Caenorhabditis elegans: one gene and its partner. The protein of the gene in region 1 interacts with the protein of each later gene in a pairwise test. Each region holds a gene or a part of one and is shown on either strand. Other genes may lie near its edges.

The links. The genes of interacting proteins can lie anywhere in the genome.
Region 2: the proteins of sop-2 (region 1) and F49H12.3 interact in a two-hybrid assay, tested with the Caenorhabditis elegans proteins (one large-scale study listed by BioGRID).

The regions. Positions count from the first base shown.
Region 1 is NC_003280.10:12,336,538-12,346,528, forward strand, and holds sop-2 (Polycomb protein sop-2), read left to right. Parts: upstream 1-3,406; 5' UTR 3,407-3,408; coding exon 3,409-3,498; intron 3,499-3,834; coding exon 3,835-3,901; intron 3,902-4,118; coding exon 4,119-4,614; intron 4,615-5,385; coding exon 5,386-5,731; intron 5,732-6,092; coding exon 6,093-6,968; intron 6,969-7,019; coding exon 7,020-7,082; intron 7,083-7,097; exon of another isoform or gene 7,098-7,151; intron 7,152-7,597; coding exon 7,598-7,873; 3' UTR 7,874-8,258; downstream 8,259-9,991. Other genes in the region: sre-52 (Serpentine Receptor, class E (epsilon)), read left to right, coding at 217-373, 439-567, 1,180-1,313, 1,364-1,556; C44C11.6 (Transcriptional regulator), read left to right, coding at 8,297-8,329, 8,615-8,749; ras-1 (R-RAS related), read right to left, coding at 9,173-9,275, 9,542-9,660. UniProt on the Caenorhabditis elegans protein: Polycomb group (PcG) protein. PcG proteins act by forming multiprotein complexes, which are required to maintain the transcriptionally repressive state of homeotic genes throughout development.
Region 2 is NC_003284.9:2,080,498-2,086,420, forward strand, and holds F49H12.3 (Potassium channel tetramerization-type BTB domain-containing protein), read left to right. Parts: upstream 1-3,877; 5' UTR 3,878-3,878; coding exon 3,879-4,051; intron 4,052-4,185; coding exon 4,186-4,381; intron 4,382-4,427; coding exon 4,428-4,499; 3' UTR 4,500-4,560; downstream 4,561-5,923. Other genes in the region: F49H12.4 (uncharacterized protein), read left to right, coding at 32-152, 882-899; F49H12.2 (uncharacterized protein), read left to right, coding at 4,791-4,896, 5,733-5,831, 5,880-5,923.

The sequences.
Region 1 (9,991 bases):
CATGAGGCAGGTAGGCCTGTAGGCATAGACTAGTCACAAAAATGTAGGCAAGCGGGTGAAAAGGTACCTGGACATGCGGAAGGTAGGCCTGTAGGCACTGACATGCGCAAATGCGTAGGCAGGTCGATAGGCATACACTTTTTGCTATCACCGCCGATTTTTCCCGAAACTAGTTTTTAAAACATTTTTTCTGTTGCAAAATATTGATTTTTTCAGAGACTACGAGCGAACCTCCCGTTGGCGGATTTTCCGCGCTTTATTGATTTTCCAGCATGGGATAATTTTTGTGATGCACTGGTTTTGTTTTTTCAATCATATCAACTTTTTCCTAGGGTTTATTGTTTGTTTTTTGTTTATTATATTGGCAGTTGTGGTAATTTTATTTTTTTGAATTTTAAATTTTTTATTTTTATAAACTAAAACAAATCCATATTTCAGATATTCATATCCAACTGGTGCTATAATAAAAACTTGCTCAAGAAATTCGAACAACATACCAAAGAAAGCATAGAACTCTACACGTTGGCTGCAAGGTTTCAGGCAAAAGAGAATGTCAGAGCTTTTGAGGTGAGATTTTTGAAAATTCGCAAAAAATTCTAAAATCGCAGAAAATTGTAGCAAAATTTTTCAAAAGATGGTGCGGGATTCGAAAATTTTTTTCAGTAGTTTTTGAAATTATTTGCGCAAAATCTAAATTTTTAAAAATTAATAGTAGAAATATTGGTGAACAATAGTTGTTGCAAGAAATGTTAAATAATTTTTTTTTTGAAAGTTCAATTTTTTAAATTATCACGAAAAAAAATGTTAAACTATGAAAAAAATTTCCAAAAAAATTATGTGAACTTCTAAATATTACAAAATTGGTTTTAAAAATATTTTGGCGCGAAATAACACTTTTGAAAATTTTCGACAAAAAATAAATTATAGGGGTACCTAGTGGGCGATTTGAAACTTCAAACATTAAATTTTCAAAAATAATTTTCAAAAAAAAAATTGGGACTTGATAAGTGTTTTTTTTCCAATTTTGCAAAAGTTGTGAATTTCAGAAAAATTTAATTGTATTAGGAAATTCAGAATTTCAAAAAAGTCAAAAAATAATTTTTTTTTGTAATTTGCCAACAAAGGTATTTAAAAAAAATTACCAAAGCAACAGGAAAAACTGCACTAATCAATTTTCAGCTAACAATTCGAATCATAATTGTCGGCTTCTCCCTTCTGATTATAGGAATTTGCTGTGTTATAGCCATAAACTACAAATGGATTCCGTCGTATAGCACGTTATTCGTCTTCTGTTTTCAAAATTTGGTGCATCTGTAAGTATCCTCCAAACAAAGGAAACTGCTTATAAATCTTAAAATTTCAGCAATCCCCTGATAGTCTGCCCAGTGTTAATACTCTCAGTGAGCCCGTGGAGCAAGGCAATCCCGTTCTTCCGGAAAGTTGATTGCATTGCTCTGAAGAGCCAACGTCCGGTTTCGTTATCCGGGCAGAATGTGGCACAGGAAACCGATTTCTATTTTAATCAGTTGCAGAACACGTGGGAGTTGAAGAATTGAGATTTTTTGATAATAAATATTTTGAACTTAATTGAAAATTTTTAGTTTTTTGAGTGCAAATTTCAACAATATTTTCAATCTTACATGAAATAACCGTCTGAAAATAAAAATTGAAAAATTATAAAGTCCCTATTTTTATCGAAAGTTTATGAAAAAAAGAATATGAAACATTATTTTTCCTACGTTACTGGTGTCCCCCGGAAACTTGTGATTTTAAAAGCCTTGGCATCTATACAGGGGTGGGCCGCGAAAGATTTTTTCCGGCAAATCAGCAGATCGGCAAATTACCGGAATTGAAAATTTCCGGCAAATCGGCAAACCGGCTAATTGCCGATTTGCCGACTTTGCTGTAAATTTTCGGCAAATTGTGGGTTTGCACATTTTTTTTTGGAAATTTAAAAATTTCAAATTTGATCGGAAAAATTGCACTCATCCTAGGAATGCTCATACATCTATTTTTAGAAGTAGACAATTCTATGAAAATATCTAAAGAAAACGGGAAAACATTTCACAAAGGCACAGTTTTAAGGGTTTCCGTCTTACATAAAATTCCTCTAAACATTTCCGACAAATTGATAACCGGAAAACGGCAAATGGGCAAATTGCCGAAATTGAAGACTTCTGGCAAATCGGCAATTTACCGAAATGAAAACATCCGGCAAACCGGCAAACCGGCAGATTGCCGGATTTGAATATTTCCGGCAAATCTGCAAACCGGCACTTTGCTGAAAATAAAAATTTCCGGCAAATCGGCGAATTGCCGGATTTGAACATTACCGGCAAATCTGCAAACCGGCACTTTGCTGAAAATAAAAATTTCCGGCAAATCGGCACATTGCCGGATTTGAACATTACCGGCAAATCTGCAAACCGGCAATTTGCCGAATTTGTCGACGAAATATTTGCCGAACGGCAATTGCCGCCTTTCCCTGGTTTATACCTCCAAAAATTGAATAATCTGCTATAAGTTATGGTGATGATTGTTATAAACACATATAATTATATAATACACAAAATAATTGGAATGTATTTTTTTAATCCTTATACATATACATATATCCATAAGCCATCCTCTTTTTATATCTAATCAGGGCTTAACTTCTCTTGCACTATTCCCCTTCAATCTTCCTCTCTCCACATAATTCTTCGTCGTCATACAATTCCCCATCATCTCCTCACTCTTTTGCCCAATTGCCCCGCCCGTAAACCAATCATCGTTCGAGTCGACGAGACACTGTGGTGAAAGAAGAGGGTCGGGGAGGTGTGACTGTGAGTTTGAGTGGGGGTGAGCGTGCGCGCATCACACACTCTCCACTGCGACTCGCATTGATTGATTTGGTCACTCGCACTTTTTTGTTTGCTGTTTTCGTTTTTTATTTTTTTAAAATTATTTTAGTGTTTTGATCGAAAATATAATGTGAAAATTAAAGTATTTAAAATTTTATTTTAAAACCATTTTGGTTAAAATTTAGTTTTCTTTTCAAATTTAGGCTACCGGTATCTAAAAGTTTTCTGCGAATTTCTGTGAGATACGAGTTTTTATTGTGAAGATCGGGCATAACTTTTTGGAGTGTCTGAAAGTTGAATTGACAGTTTTTTTTTTAGAAAAGAAACATTTCCAGAATTTTATTGATTTTTTTGTGTAAAAAATCTACCTCTACTTATTTAAAAATTTATTTTCCTTGTGTAATCATTTTTGAAACAAAATCCCAAGTACCATACACCCCCCCCCCCCCCCCCCACTATACGAGCAATCGCGCTCCATCACGAATCTTGACGCTCCCCTCTCAGCGGGAGATTGTTTTATTGAATTTCACTGCAACATACATTTAAATTAATTTTTTCAAAAGAAATGAGTTCAAACTTGACCAGTAATGAGATGTCATCAACATCTGCAATTGTAGAGCCCCCGGAGGCTGTGAAGGGAAATGAAAGGGATAAGGTATAGTTTACAAATTTTTAAAAATAAAAATAATCGTTTCTCCACTACTTTTACACAAAACAAATGATTTATACCCAGCTCAATATTTTTTTAAACTATTTTTTATATTTTATCAAATGTTGCCCAGTTATTTTCCAATGAGATATAGGGGTTAAAAAAAAAGAAACAAATTTAGTAATTATCAACTTCAAAACCCTCTAACTTGCCGGAAAATAGAGATATGGAAAAATTGTTAACTAACACTTTGGAGTACCAAAATTTATCTACATTTTATTAGTTGACAATTTTTTGATAGCTAACCGTCCCAATAAGTTACAATAGTTTTAAAACTTTCAGTCCACTCGACGATCGACATCTCAAGTGGTTCGACCGGAAAAGCACGAAGTTGAAAATGCATTGGAAGGTGAGTATTTTTCAAATATATTATAGAAAAATTAATAATTGCAATTTTGGTGCTCAAGTTATAATATAAACTCCGTTTTGGCAAATTGCCAATTTTCAAAAAACCCCAATTTCCGAATTTCTCGGAAATTTACCAAAATTTTGTAGTTTTTTAAAGCTCTACTAGACCTTCAATTTTTGAAACTTGCTTACAATTAGTGAAAATAATAATTTTTCAGATCAATGCTCATCAAGCAGCTTACCAAAAGAAGCTCAATATTATGCAAAACTCGACAAAAAGCTAGAGGGCAAAGACCCCCGATCTCAGTTCTACGAAGCGGTACGCCTGTCCGCCGACATTTTTGCTCATAAATTCGAAAAAGCCGTGTGCTCCCGCCAAACGTTCGAGCCGACCAACTCCATCATCAAAGTGCTCAACACTGCCGAGGAGGAGATGCTCCACGAGAAGGTTGTCCCACTACCAGTCAGCTCAAAGCTCCAATACTATCTCAACCGGGGACGTTATGATACGATATTCGATCGTGATGAGCAATTGCAAAGGACTGCTGACCCGATGGCCGACGAGCCGGATCATGTGGAGAAGCGGGTGACGAGCATTTTGGAGCAAGCTTCTCGAGAGATGGAAGAAGGGGAAGTCGAGCCGGTGTTCTATGATGGATCTGATGAGGATCAGGAACTTCCGATTGATCTAGGAGCTATGAGAAATCTGCAAAGGTAGGCACTAGAGCTTCAGAACAAAAAATTAATTAGCAAATATATTATTCCCAAAAGCAAAAAGCCCAAAAAGCGCATACATTTAACCAATTTGTGGGTGGTTTTTTATACGCATAAAGCTACGTTCAGGCCGTTTTTCAGGCCGTTTTCAGGCGTTTAGAATTCTTGAACTAAGAAAAAAAATAGATATTAAAGAATGTCGTGGGATGATTGTTAATGATAACAAAACTCAATATTGCAATATGAAACGGACAATAAGCAATATCTGAGTCATGGCGGAAGGGAAAAAAGTGCGATATTTCGCACAACTATCATATGGCCTGGCTTCCAGATTTTGATCATATCAGTCTTTTCCGTGGTCTCATTACGGTTTGATCTACAAAAAATGTAGGAATTTTTTGCTCAAAAATATGTGACGTCAGCACGTTCTTAACGATACAAAATCGGTTGAGAACTCTGCGTCTCTTCTCCCGCATTTTTTGTAGATCTACGTAGATCAAAGTCTTTGAAATTTTTGAGCTTAAATTTCCCTACACTTTATCAAGATAACAAACGCGCCCTATTGCCAACTTCTCGCACACCGACGCCGCCAAGTTTGAAGGTGATAGGGGGGGAGAGTGAGAGGGTGCCAGAGATTCATGTAAACATGGAACGATGTATGTTTTCCCAGCAGTGTGTGACCTTGTGTGTATGTTTTTTGTCGCGCGTTATATCAATTTTTGTTAGCAATGTTTCAATTTTCTGTGATAACAATCAATCAACTGTTTTCAGAACCAACAAGTTCGCGGCTCGCTCGAGCAGAATGGCAGCTCGGAGGGGAGGACGGCCCGGCTATCGTGGTGCTTTCAGAGGTGCAGCTCGCGGAGCACCTTCTAGAAGACCTGCACCAGCTGCAGAGGTGGCTCCAGAGACTCCAGTAGCGGCTCCGATGGCTCCAGCGGCTCCAGCAGCTCCTGCAACACCTGAAGCAGCTCCGGCAGCAGAAGTTATGGACACATCAATTGCCACAGAGATGCCTCAAGAGTCGGCTGTGGATCTGTCAAATGTGTCGGCGGCTACCGAGATGGATACATCTAAAGAAGGAGAAGCGTCCAGACCGACTAGCGAGAAAAAAAAGGTAAGCTTTTTGAAGGCTCGTATCTCGGACGGTTTTTGTTTTTTCGAAAAATTCTTAACTAACAAAATAATTACCGCATTTTTTTACAATTTCGTAGTTGAGTATTTGTTGATAACTTAAATTGGAGCAATTTATAAGCTTTACTTTGGCAACTCGTAACTGAATCTCTAATGCATATTTTCTATTTATTTTTTATTTTAAATTATAGAAAAATTAATTCTAAACATTTTTGCAGTTTTCAAAATTTTTATAAGACAAAAACCAATTGAGATATAAACTTTCAAAGCTGAAATTTGCTCTAAAAATTGAAAAAAGGTTCTAAAAAAAAGGTTCGTGAACAAATTAAAATTTTTTCTCAAAGTTTCAGAAAATCCGCACAACCGAAATGGACCGTCTTATGAGCATGGACTTGGGACCCAAGGATGGTGGCCGAGTCGGCGAACTCGGCCACATGTGGCCCGAATCACGCCGTCGTCCTGCTGCACCCCTACCAGAGACACCTGCTGCTCAACCGAGAAAGTCTCTGCCAAGGCGAGCCGCCGAGAAGAAGAAGCCTGAAGATTCGGACGCCGCTGAGGAGCAGGAGGTTGAGATGGAGGTGGATAACGACGCGAGCACATCTACTCCAAGAAATGCACGTGGAGGTAGAGGTGGTGGCAATAGACGAGGATCGAGAAGAGGTCAGAAGAGGACATCTGGAGGATCGGGGAAGCTCGTGGAGCCAAAGAAAGAGCCGGTCGACGAGCCAGCCGAGAAAATCCCAAAAAGATCCGAGGCAGCTCCAGAAGTTCCAGCTACTGCCACAACCAAAGAAGCCCCACCATCCACCTCCAGCTCCCCACCGGATGCTCCAGCTACCCCAGCCACTCCAGCTTCATCCGACTCTCGGGATTCCCCACGAAAGATCCGGGCGATGATTTTCTCGCTTACCGGATCCCCACCAGAGTCTGAAACTCCGCCAGTTCTGCAGCAAGAGCAGGTGATCTCCACAGCAGCACCGACAGCCGGTCGCCATCCAAACATCATTCAGCAGGTCCCGCACATCAATCGGATCCCGCCACAACCGCTGAGACGTCTCACAGCTCCTCAGGCTCCACCAGCATCCCAGCCAGAAGAGCCTCCAGTTCAGCAGACTGTTCCGGTGGTTAAAGTCGAATTGGCTTCAGCTCCAGCTCCAATCGTCAGGGATCCACAGTCAACGGAGCCAGTTCCACCTGCGATGCCTACACTTGTCGAGGTAACCATTTTCAGAATATGACGACTAATTTTTAATTACAATTTTCTTCAGAACAACCACGAAGCTACGCTCATTTTGCCGCCCAACAAGACATCAGACTACACAAGGTGGAACGTAAGTTTTTTAAGGCTCAGGCTTAGGCTTAGGCTTAGGTGTAGGCTTAGGCTTAGGCGTAGGCTTAGGCTCTGGTTTGGGCTTAGGTTTCAGCTTAAGCATAGGCTCAGGCTCAAGTTCAGGTTCAGATCTAGGCTTAGGCTTAGGCTTAGTATTAGGCATAGGTTAGCCTTAGGCTCTCTCTCTCTCTCAGGTTTAGGCTCTGGTTTAAGCATAGGTTCAGGCTTAGTCTCAGGCTTAGCCTGAGGCTTAAGCGTAGGCTTAGACTTTTGGCTTAGGCTTAAGCTCAGGTTTAGGTTTTGGCTTAGACTTTGGCTCAGGCTTAAGCTCAGGTTTAGACTTAGGCTCAGGCTTAGACCTAGGCTTAGGCTCAGCATTAGGCTTAGGCTTAGGTTTAGGCTTAAGCTTAGGCTTAGGCTTAGGCTTAGGCTCAGGTTTAAGCATAGGTTCAGGCTTAGGCTCAGGCTTAGGCTCTGGATTTCGACTTAACACATTCTAAAACAATTATGCTTCAGGCGCAAGATCTCATCAACTGGGTTCGGCTTCTCATCACCAACAACGTGGATTCCACTATTGCAATTATGGTTCGCGAGGAGTTTGACGGAGAAACGCTGGCCTGTCTTGTGTTGGACGATGATTTTCGAAAAGAGGTACCAATTCCATATGGTCATTATAAGAAGATGAAGATCTATGGGACTGAGGTGCTCAACCATTATCGTACGGAAAAGTATCAAGCTGATTTGAGAAAGTTCCATGAGGAGTTGGCTGCCTGGAAGGCTCAGCAGCGTTAACTCTGTTAATTTTTTTATGTTAATTTTAATGTTAAAATTAATATTTTTGTTGTTTTTTCTGACATTTCAAGCTCTTGCATATTGACTCCTACCGCTTTACCCATTCCTCGTTACCTAATTTGGACCTACTTAGATGATAGAAAACTTTCAGCAGTTTTCTAATTTTTAATAATTTTAATTTTTTGTAAGTTGATTGCAATTTCTTTAACTATTAAATTCCCCTTTGATACTCACAGAGACATGTTTTATATTCTATAATCAATCGATTTTTGTCATAATACCCGTTTTACCCTTATTTTTTCTGTTCACGTTTGCCCTCATGATTAAATGTTTTTCGAGTTTTTTAAATGTTAATGACATTTTGTATATGAAAAGTTAAAAAATATTCATTTCTGGTTTCCACAAAGCGAACGATACACAAAAATGTTAAAGAACGCTGTGAATGCAATGAAAAATGTGAGATTTTTAATTAAAAAATCTCTTACCGGCTGAGCACACGTGGCTCAGTGGGTAACAGGCTTGACTGGCAAGCAGGAGGCCACTGGTTCAAGTCCACCGACCTCCACCGACGTCAGGAATCGAACCTGTGATCTTTTCCCTTAAAGCTGAGCCTCTTACCGGCTGAGCCACTGGCCGCACAGCACCGCAAAAAATTGTCGGCATGGCTCAGTGGGTAACGAGCTTGACTTGCAAACAGAAGGCCACTGGTTCGAGTCCTTGAACTGAAGTAAACATTTTCAGATCGGAAAATCTCGATCGAGAAGTGCAAGTCGCGAGAAGGTGCTCAAAGACTCGGCCGTACAAGCTTCACCATCATCCCGTGAAGCCGTCCAAGTCGTCAAGGCAATCGCCCAACCAGTCGTCGAACAAAAATAAATATTCTCACGTTTTTTATTACTCTAAAAGAAAATGGGTTCACAGGGCTATCAGTAGAGCGCATATCAGATTTTTGGTCGAAATTTGAGAGAGATTTGTACTCGGGATAACGGGCACAACGGGTAGGGTGGTAGGATATGGAATAAATATTTTGTTGGAACTGTACAAGAAGGGGCTAGAATCAGAGGAAAAAAAAACATTTTAAAAGCAATAGAAAACCAAAGAAATCCCGTTTTGAAGTGGAGAGAAGGAGTTTAAAGGCAGCAAGTTAAAAATTTTCAGAAGAGGGTGCAGTATATCGTATGAAAGTCATGAAGGATTGACTCTCCGGTTCGACTATTCACATTTTTTGAAGGTTTTTGAAGTATCTTCCAATGTTGAATGTCGTATCGGACTGGAATAGATTAATTGAGTTTCTGGAGTTTATTGAATCCTGCAATTCTTTTTCTTCTTCAGCTTGATCGGTGATTCGAGCTTCCGATCGTCATGGGGGTGGATGGGCATGCGCTCGTCATGTTGGTATTTTCTGAAATTTCGAGATTTTAAGTATGAAATTCAAACTCAGCGCGTTGAAAAACCTATAAACCTATAAACGACCTCGAGAACTCGAACCTGTGACCTTCTGCTTAGCAGCCAAACCTCTTACCCACTGAGCCACGCACGCAAAAGTTTCATCTGAAACTCGAGCATGGCTCAGTCGGTAAGAGGATGGGGTTTGAGACAAAGGGTCGCGGGTTCGAGCCCGCTAGCCCCAGTTGGGGATTTTTAATTAATTTTTTTCAAATTTCTTACCTGACTAATCTCACAATATCAAAAAACGCTTCATCAACATTTTTTCGAATTTTTGCCGAGCACTCCAAATATGGTATTGAGAGTCGGTGTGCGAGCTCCTCGGCTTCATGTCGGGCTACCTGAAATTCGAGGTTTTATTCGATAATTTTTTATGGGAAATTTAACATATTCAGTGTAAAAAACCTAATAGCCATTCTGGGGGGTCGAACCGTGACCTTTTGCTCCAAAGGCAAGCCTCTTACCGGCTGAGCTATGCAGCGCAGCGCGCATGGCTCAGCCGGTAAGTGGCTCGCCACTGAATCCGAAGCCATGGATTCGAGCCCAAAAAACTCTGCTTAAATTTTAAAATTTTAAAACTTTAAAACCCCTTCAATGCGAAATCCGACACAGATGTTTTGAATTGCAAACGTTTTTCGTGAGACTCACACACACATATGTTTCGAGTGTTTT
Region 2 (5,923 bases), on another chromosome or scaffold:
TATTCTTGAAATAAATTATTTTTATTTTCAGAGCTTTAACGCAAGTTGCAAAACAACGCGAACCGACAGAGTACACCGAATTCACAATTGACCTGACAACCAAAATGGACTCGTGTGTAGAACTTTCTTCACCACAGATCAGTTCTAAAGAGGTATGTTGTAGTCGCTTTACAGTATACGGTTCTAAGTATTTAGGACGTAAATATTGAATTTGCACTCAAATAAACGGGTTACGTAATGAAAATTCTCAAAAAATTTGTCAAAAATTTTATATGGCGGTTCACAAAATGTCGAAAAAACATTTTGGTAATTTTTCCATATCGCAGCGGTTGGAAACAGCGGTGGGCGGCAATTGCCGTTCAGCAACCTTTTTGTCGGAAATTTCGGCAATTCGGCAAATTGCCGGTTTGCCGATTTGCCTAAAATTTTCATTTTTGGCCAATTGCCGACTTTCCATTTCCCGGATATCAAATTTGCCGGAAATGTTTAAAGAGAGTTTTTATAAAACGGGAACAATTAGAACTGTACCTTTTTGAAAATTTTGCTTACTTTTCAAAATAGATGTAGGAAAATGTATGAGTTGCTGATTGGAATTGGAATTCTGAAATATCTTTAGAAAAAGCGAAAAACCACAATTTGCCAAAATTTTTCAGCAATTGCCGTTTTCGGCAAATCAACATTTTGCCGGTTTGCCGATTTGTCGGAAATTTTCAATTCCGGCAAGATGCGGATTTGCCGATTTGCCGGAAATATCAATTCCATTATGAGAATTTTTTGGGAAATTTAATTATGAGATCTGTTTAGTTGAGCACTTGTTGGGTCTTTACGTTCAAAAAACCAGAACCATTACACCTCCCAAAAAATTAATTTTCTAATTTCAGGAATCCGTTCTGCTGTAAATTTCATTAGACAATGTGTTCTTATGGACTGATTTCTACCGGTTTTTTTTTCAACCTGAAAAAGCTTTGTTCTCATTCCCTGTATATTATCCTTCTCGTTTTTAAATCTCATGTTTTAACGATCTAAAAATTATTTATCATGATGGATAGTATTACTGAACTGGTTTCCCTGTGTTTATGTAGTTAATGGTCTATGTTGTAAATATTTGGAAAATTTTAAATATGCCAAATATTAATTTTATAAAGAACTTTTGGTTTTCAAGACTTGTTCAATAAATTCTTCATCCTTAATTTCAATGTATAACAAATTGAAATTATTAGAAATGAGGTGGATAAAAAAAAGAGTTTTACAACTAATAATTCGTATGTTAAATCTAACTTTTATAAAGTGAAAGTTTTCTCTAGTGTAGTTTGAAACGCCATTTTCGATAACTAATATTTGCAAAGTTTGAAGAACCTTTAAAAATTTTTTGAAGTATTTTCCAAACGTTATAGATATTAAAAAAATCACGCTGGTGGTTTACGAATCTATTGAGCTATTTTTTCAAAGAACAGAAAGTTAGTGACAAATTCGATGAAGCCATACAGTTCTTCGAGGGAGTCCCTACCTTTGTTATGAGTGAATTAAACACCGCAGCACCACAGTTGACTTTAGAGACACGTGCGGAATTTTTTTTTCAATTCTGCATGCCGAAAAATTATAAACGAACAGTGGAGATTCAACAAGGAAAAATTGTGTTTCTTTTTTTTAACCTGAATTTGTGACTTACCAAATTGAGAAAAACTTTGCGCGCAGTGTTACTTTCAATTTTGATGCTACAGTTTTTGAAATCTCGCAAAAATAATATATTAAATATGTTTTGCAGTAAAAAATTTGTAACTTTGAAGCAGGCCCACAACAATTGCCAAAATCGTCGATTGCCAGAAATTTGATTTCCAAAAACAATATTTTCATAGATTCTGTAAAATTAAAAACACATAAATGCCTCTAAAAATTTATAAATACCGAATACCTGAAAGGTGAAGTTCAAAATTTGCTGAAATATCAGTCAATTTCAGGTAGGCTACACCAATTCAACAAATGCCTTAAACTTTTTAATTCGTAAATTTGAAATGGTCTTCAGCAAAAATGCTTTTGATTGCCTTGCAAAAAAAACTACCTAAGATTTCATGGTTTAGTAAACAACTTATCTAACTTTTAATTTTTCAGCATATGCTAGAAATCGTAATACATACCTCGTTCAAAGAACACGTTACAAAAAATATCCCAATTTATAAAATTCATGCAAGTAACAGTAGTTTTAACTGCCGAATCCAAGTTCGATATTAGTCTAATAATCGTGAAAGAATAATGATTTTAAAATAGCATGTCTGCAGTAAAATAGTAACATGGAAAAAAAGTAGCGGGGCAGAGAATCGACAAAACTGGTCAGGTGTAATTTGGGCATGAAATGCGCGCCTCTTCAGTCAGGCCTTTCATTCTTCCTTCTTTTCAACCATATTTCATTCTCGCGCTTCAGCCATTTTGCACTTATTCACAGAATTTAGACTTCACATGTGTTTCTTCCACTCTTTCTTCTATTTCTCTTGTATCAAATTTCAATGCCCAAAAGAGACAGCCTTTCTGATTCGAGCAAAAGATTGGTGGAGCATCAAGCTAAACATGGCAGTTCCATTTCCCATGTTATTTTTTATATTGAAAAAGAAGACCTCTGGGTCATTTCCTCTCGTTTCCCATTGTCTGACAGCAAATAAATGGCGCGGTAGTTGAGTTCAGTTTAGTTCATTTCCCGTGATACGTCAAATCCTTTTTTTTTACTCTTCTTTTTGCGGTGGTCTCTGTTTGGGAACGATTGCATGTGAAAATGTTCTTATTGTGCCAGTATTGTTTCCTGAAAATTGTTTCCAAAAATTAATACATAATAAATGAGAAAATACACCGAGCTATTTGACCACCTGCTCTTCTAGTGTGCATGTGCAAAACGTGCTAGTATTGCGAAATATGGAGTGTATCTAAAGCTTATCAAATGAGCATTTGATAGATAAAAATGGATTCATCCAATTTTTTATCCGTTTTTTGAAATATAATATGTGTTCAGGTTCTATTACTTGAAATACTGAAAAAAAAATTATTGCTTTTATAGTGTTGTAGATAATAATTAAAGGTGCTCCTATATTGCTAAAATGCTAATATAGTTTTAAATGCTCCTATAATTCAAAAATGTCCAAATATCGCAGTTAAACTGTTGGGAAAACTTTTGAAATGTTCAGTTTTGTAATTAAACAGTTGGTGAAATTAGTTTTCATTTATCATATGTTTTGGTAGTCGGCCGTCGGCTAAAACAACGCAGAAAATTTGGCAAGTCATCAAAACTTTGACTGGAAATGTTAAAAAATCTAAAACTGTTTCAAGTGTTCTATGATGACTAATTTGAACTATTATACATATTTTAAAATTAAATCTATATTAAAGGTTCTTCACTTATTATACATTCGTCAAAAAAATACACCTGTTCAAAAATTTAAAATTTAAAAAAATCTAAACTTTAACTTTTTGAATAGTGATTGTTTGAAAATAGCTTTCAATTATTTTATCATTGCTGACATTAACGTTTCACATTTGAGCAAGTAATACGCAGAGCTCATACGTATTTGCATGTACGCTGCTGGCTCACACCACCTTTTCTTTCTCTCTCAAATATGTATTCGCCCGTTCTCGTTTCTCTCTCACCGGCTTATGAATCTCAAATGTGGGGTGGCAGAGGGGCCCCCACTCTGTTTTGTGCTCAATTCGAATAAGTGGTGGTGCCCTTTGAGAGATGTCCAATGACATTTTGTGCTTAACATTTCATGAGAATTGTCTTTCTTCGTACATCTTTTCCAAGAACAGAAACTTTAACATGTTTCTTTTGTTTCTTTGAACTAAATCTTTTACGAATTTATTATTCCAAATTTTTTATGTACACAATTTCGTTCAGAATGTCCGAAACACTGATAATTCGCTTCAATGTTGGAGGAACTCCAATGGCAACCTTGAAGACGACTTTCCCAGTTGACTCAATTTTCCACAAATGGTTTGTGTCAAGAACAAAGGCGTCCCCATTCACAAGCGACCGAGATGGCGCGTACTTTGTCGATAGAGACCCATTTTCGTAAGTGAATCACAAAGGTATTTATTAAAATTATTCTCATGATTGTAATTTGGTAATTTGGAAATTTGGACGATGGAAATTATAATATATTGTAGTTGAAAAAAAAAAATAAATCTTTAAATACTTTCTTTCAGATTCGGCGTCGTGCTCAACTATTTTCGTCTCCGGAAAGCTGGACAGCTTTGGGAAGCCTGTCTACCAAAAGACCCAGACAGGTTGGCAATGCTGACACAGGAAGCAGATTTCTTCCTTCTGCCTCAACTACGTGATCAAGCAATCTGCATGCTTCAGCTATGTAGTAATAAAAATGATTCCAACTATATAAACGAGGTATTTATATACTTAAAAACTATGATAATTATCTGTTGAATTTCAGATGCTTGCCAAAAGCACAAGTTGCCCGCAAGGATTTGACAAAAAAGAGGAAGAGGATGAAGAAGATTTTTAAATTCTGTAATAAATCTATATTTTGTGATAAAAGCTACAGAATAAACGAATTCTTCTTTGCGGTTTTGTGGAAAATTAACTACTTACTTTCACTAATTGACGTATTCAATTCTCTACAAAACTATTATTTATCTGGTAACAAATTCCGTTTTTTTCAACAACCAATGTATGTTTGCTAACGTGGCCCCCTGCCAAAAAATTAGCAAGTCATCCAAAACAAAAAATCCCCTTAGAAACGCACGTGTCTACCACTTTTTGAAACTATTCCCGAAGATTTTGAAACTTTTTTTTAATGCTTGCTGGCGATTTTCAACGATATGTTTGGGTACAGGGAGAACGGAAGCGACAAAAAAATCGAGAAAAGTATGACGAGACTAGAAAGCGATACTTGGATCATGGTTAGTTTTTCCACGTATTTTGGATGTTTTATATTGTTACGAAATGCCGTGTTTTCTCTATTAGTATTGCACACCGTGGGCCAACTTTCACAACATACATCTCAATTGCCAGTTTTCCTTTACTAGTAAATTTGTCAACTGACGAAATTTTTGTCAATTCCTTTTTTTAAGTTTTGTAGTTAATAGATTCAGAAAAAAATTTCAAGATTTAAAATTAAATTATACTTTCAGAATTTATTGATTTTGTTTTACAAAAAAGATATTGCAAGAACTAAATTAAAATTTTTGTTCTAGATTTACGAGCGATTTCGCAATAGGGGGCAATTCGTGAAATTTGGTTTAAAATAGCTTTTTATCCTTTTTTGAAATGTTGCTTAGAGTCAATTTTTTCTGCTCTAAATGACAATCTTAGTATGTCAGATATCACTTTTAAAAGATTGTCAATCTTTTTTATGATTTTTTTTTCAATTTTACGAAAATCAAAGAAACAGTGAATTTGTAGTCCCGTAAAAGTCAGCGACGTCATTTTTGACATGTTTTCAGACTAACTTGCCGATTTTAGATAAATTTTGAACTTTCCGCAATTTACTTTCACGGAAAAATGTTTAAAAATTGACAAAAAATGTTTCTAATCAAATATTATGGAAAAATCAAAGAGAACCAATGGTTTTAGCCAGAAAACACGAAAAAAATCATTTGAAGCTTAAAATTGCTCTTTATCTATGTAAGATAAACCTAATGAAACTGAATGCTGATTTTAAAAAAAATGTAGTTCAATTTTTCCAGTCACAAAGTACAAACCCTCTTGCCCTACAACTTATATATTTCAATTTTAGATGTGGTAGACGCCGAGCCAACAAAAAAACCGAAAGTCGTTTGGCCTGGAGAATTTGAAAACCAATTAAGGAAGCGAAACCGAAATCTGGAGAAAATTGGTGGGTGAAAGGTCATAAAAGAAAAAGAACCCAATGTATTTTTTGCAGATGAAAGAGAGAATAATAGACTTGAAACACCAGCAATACATACT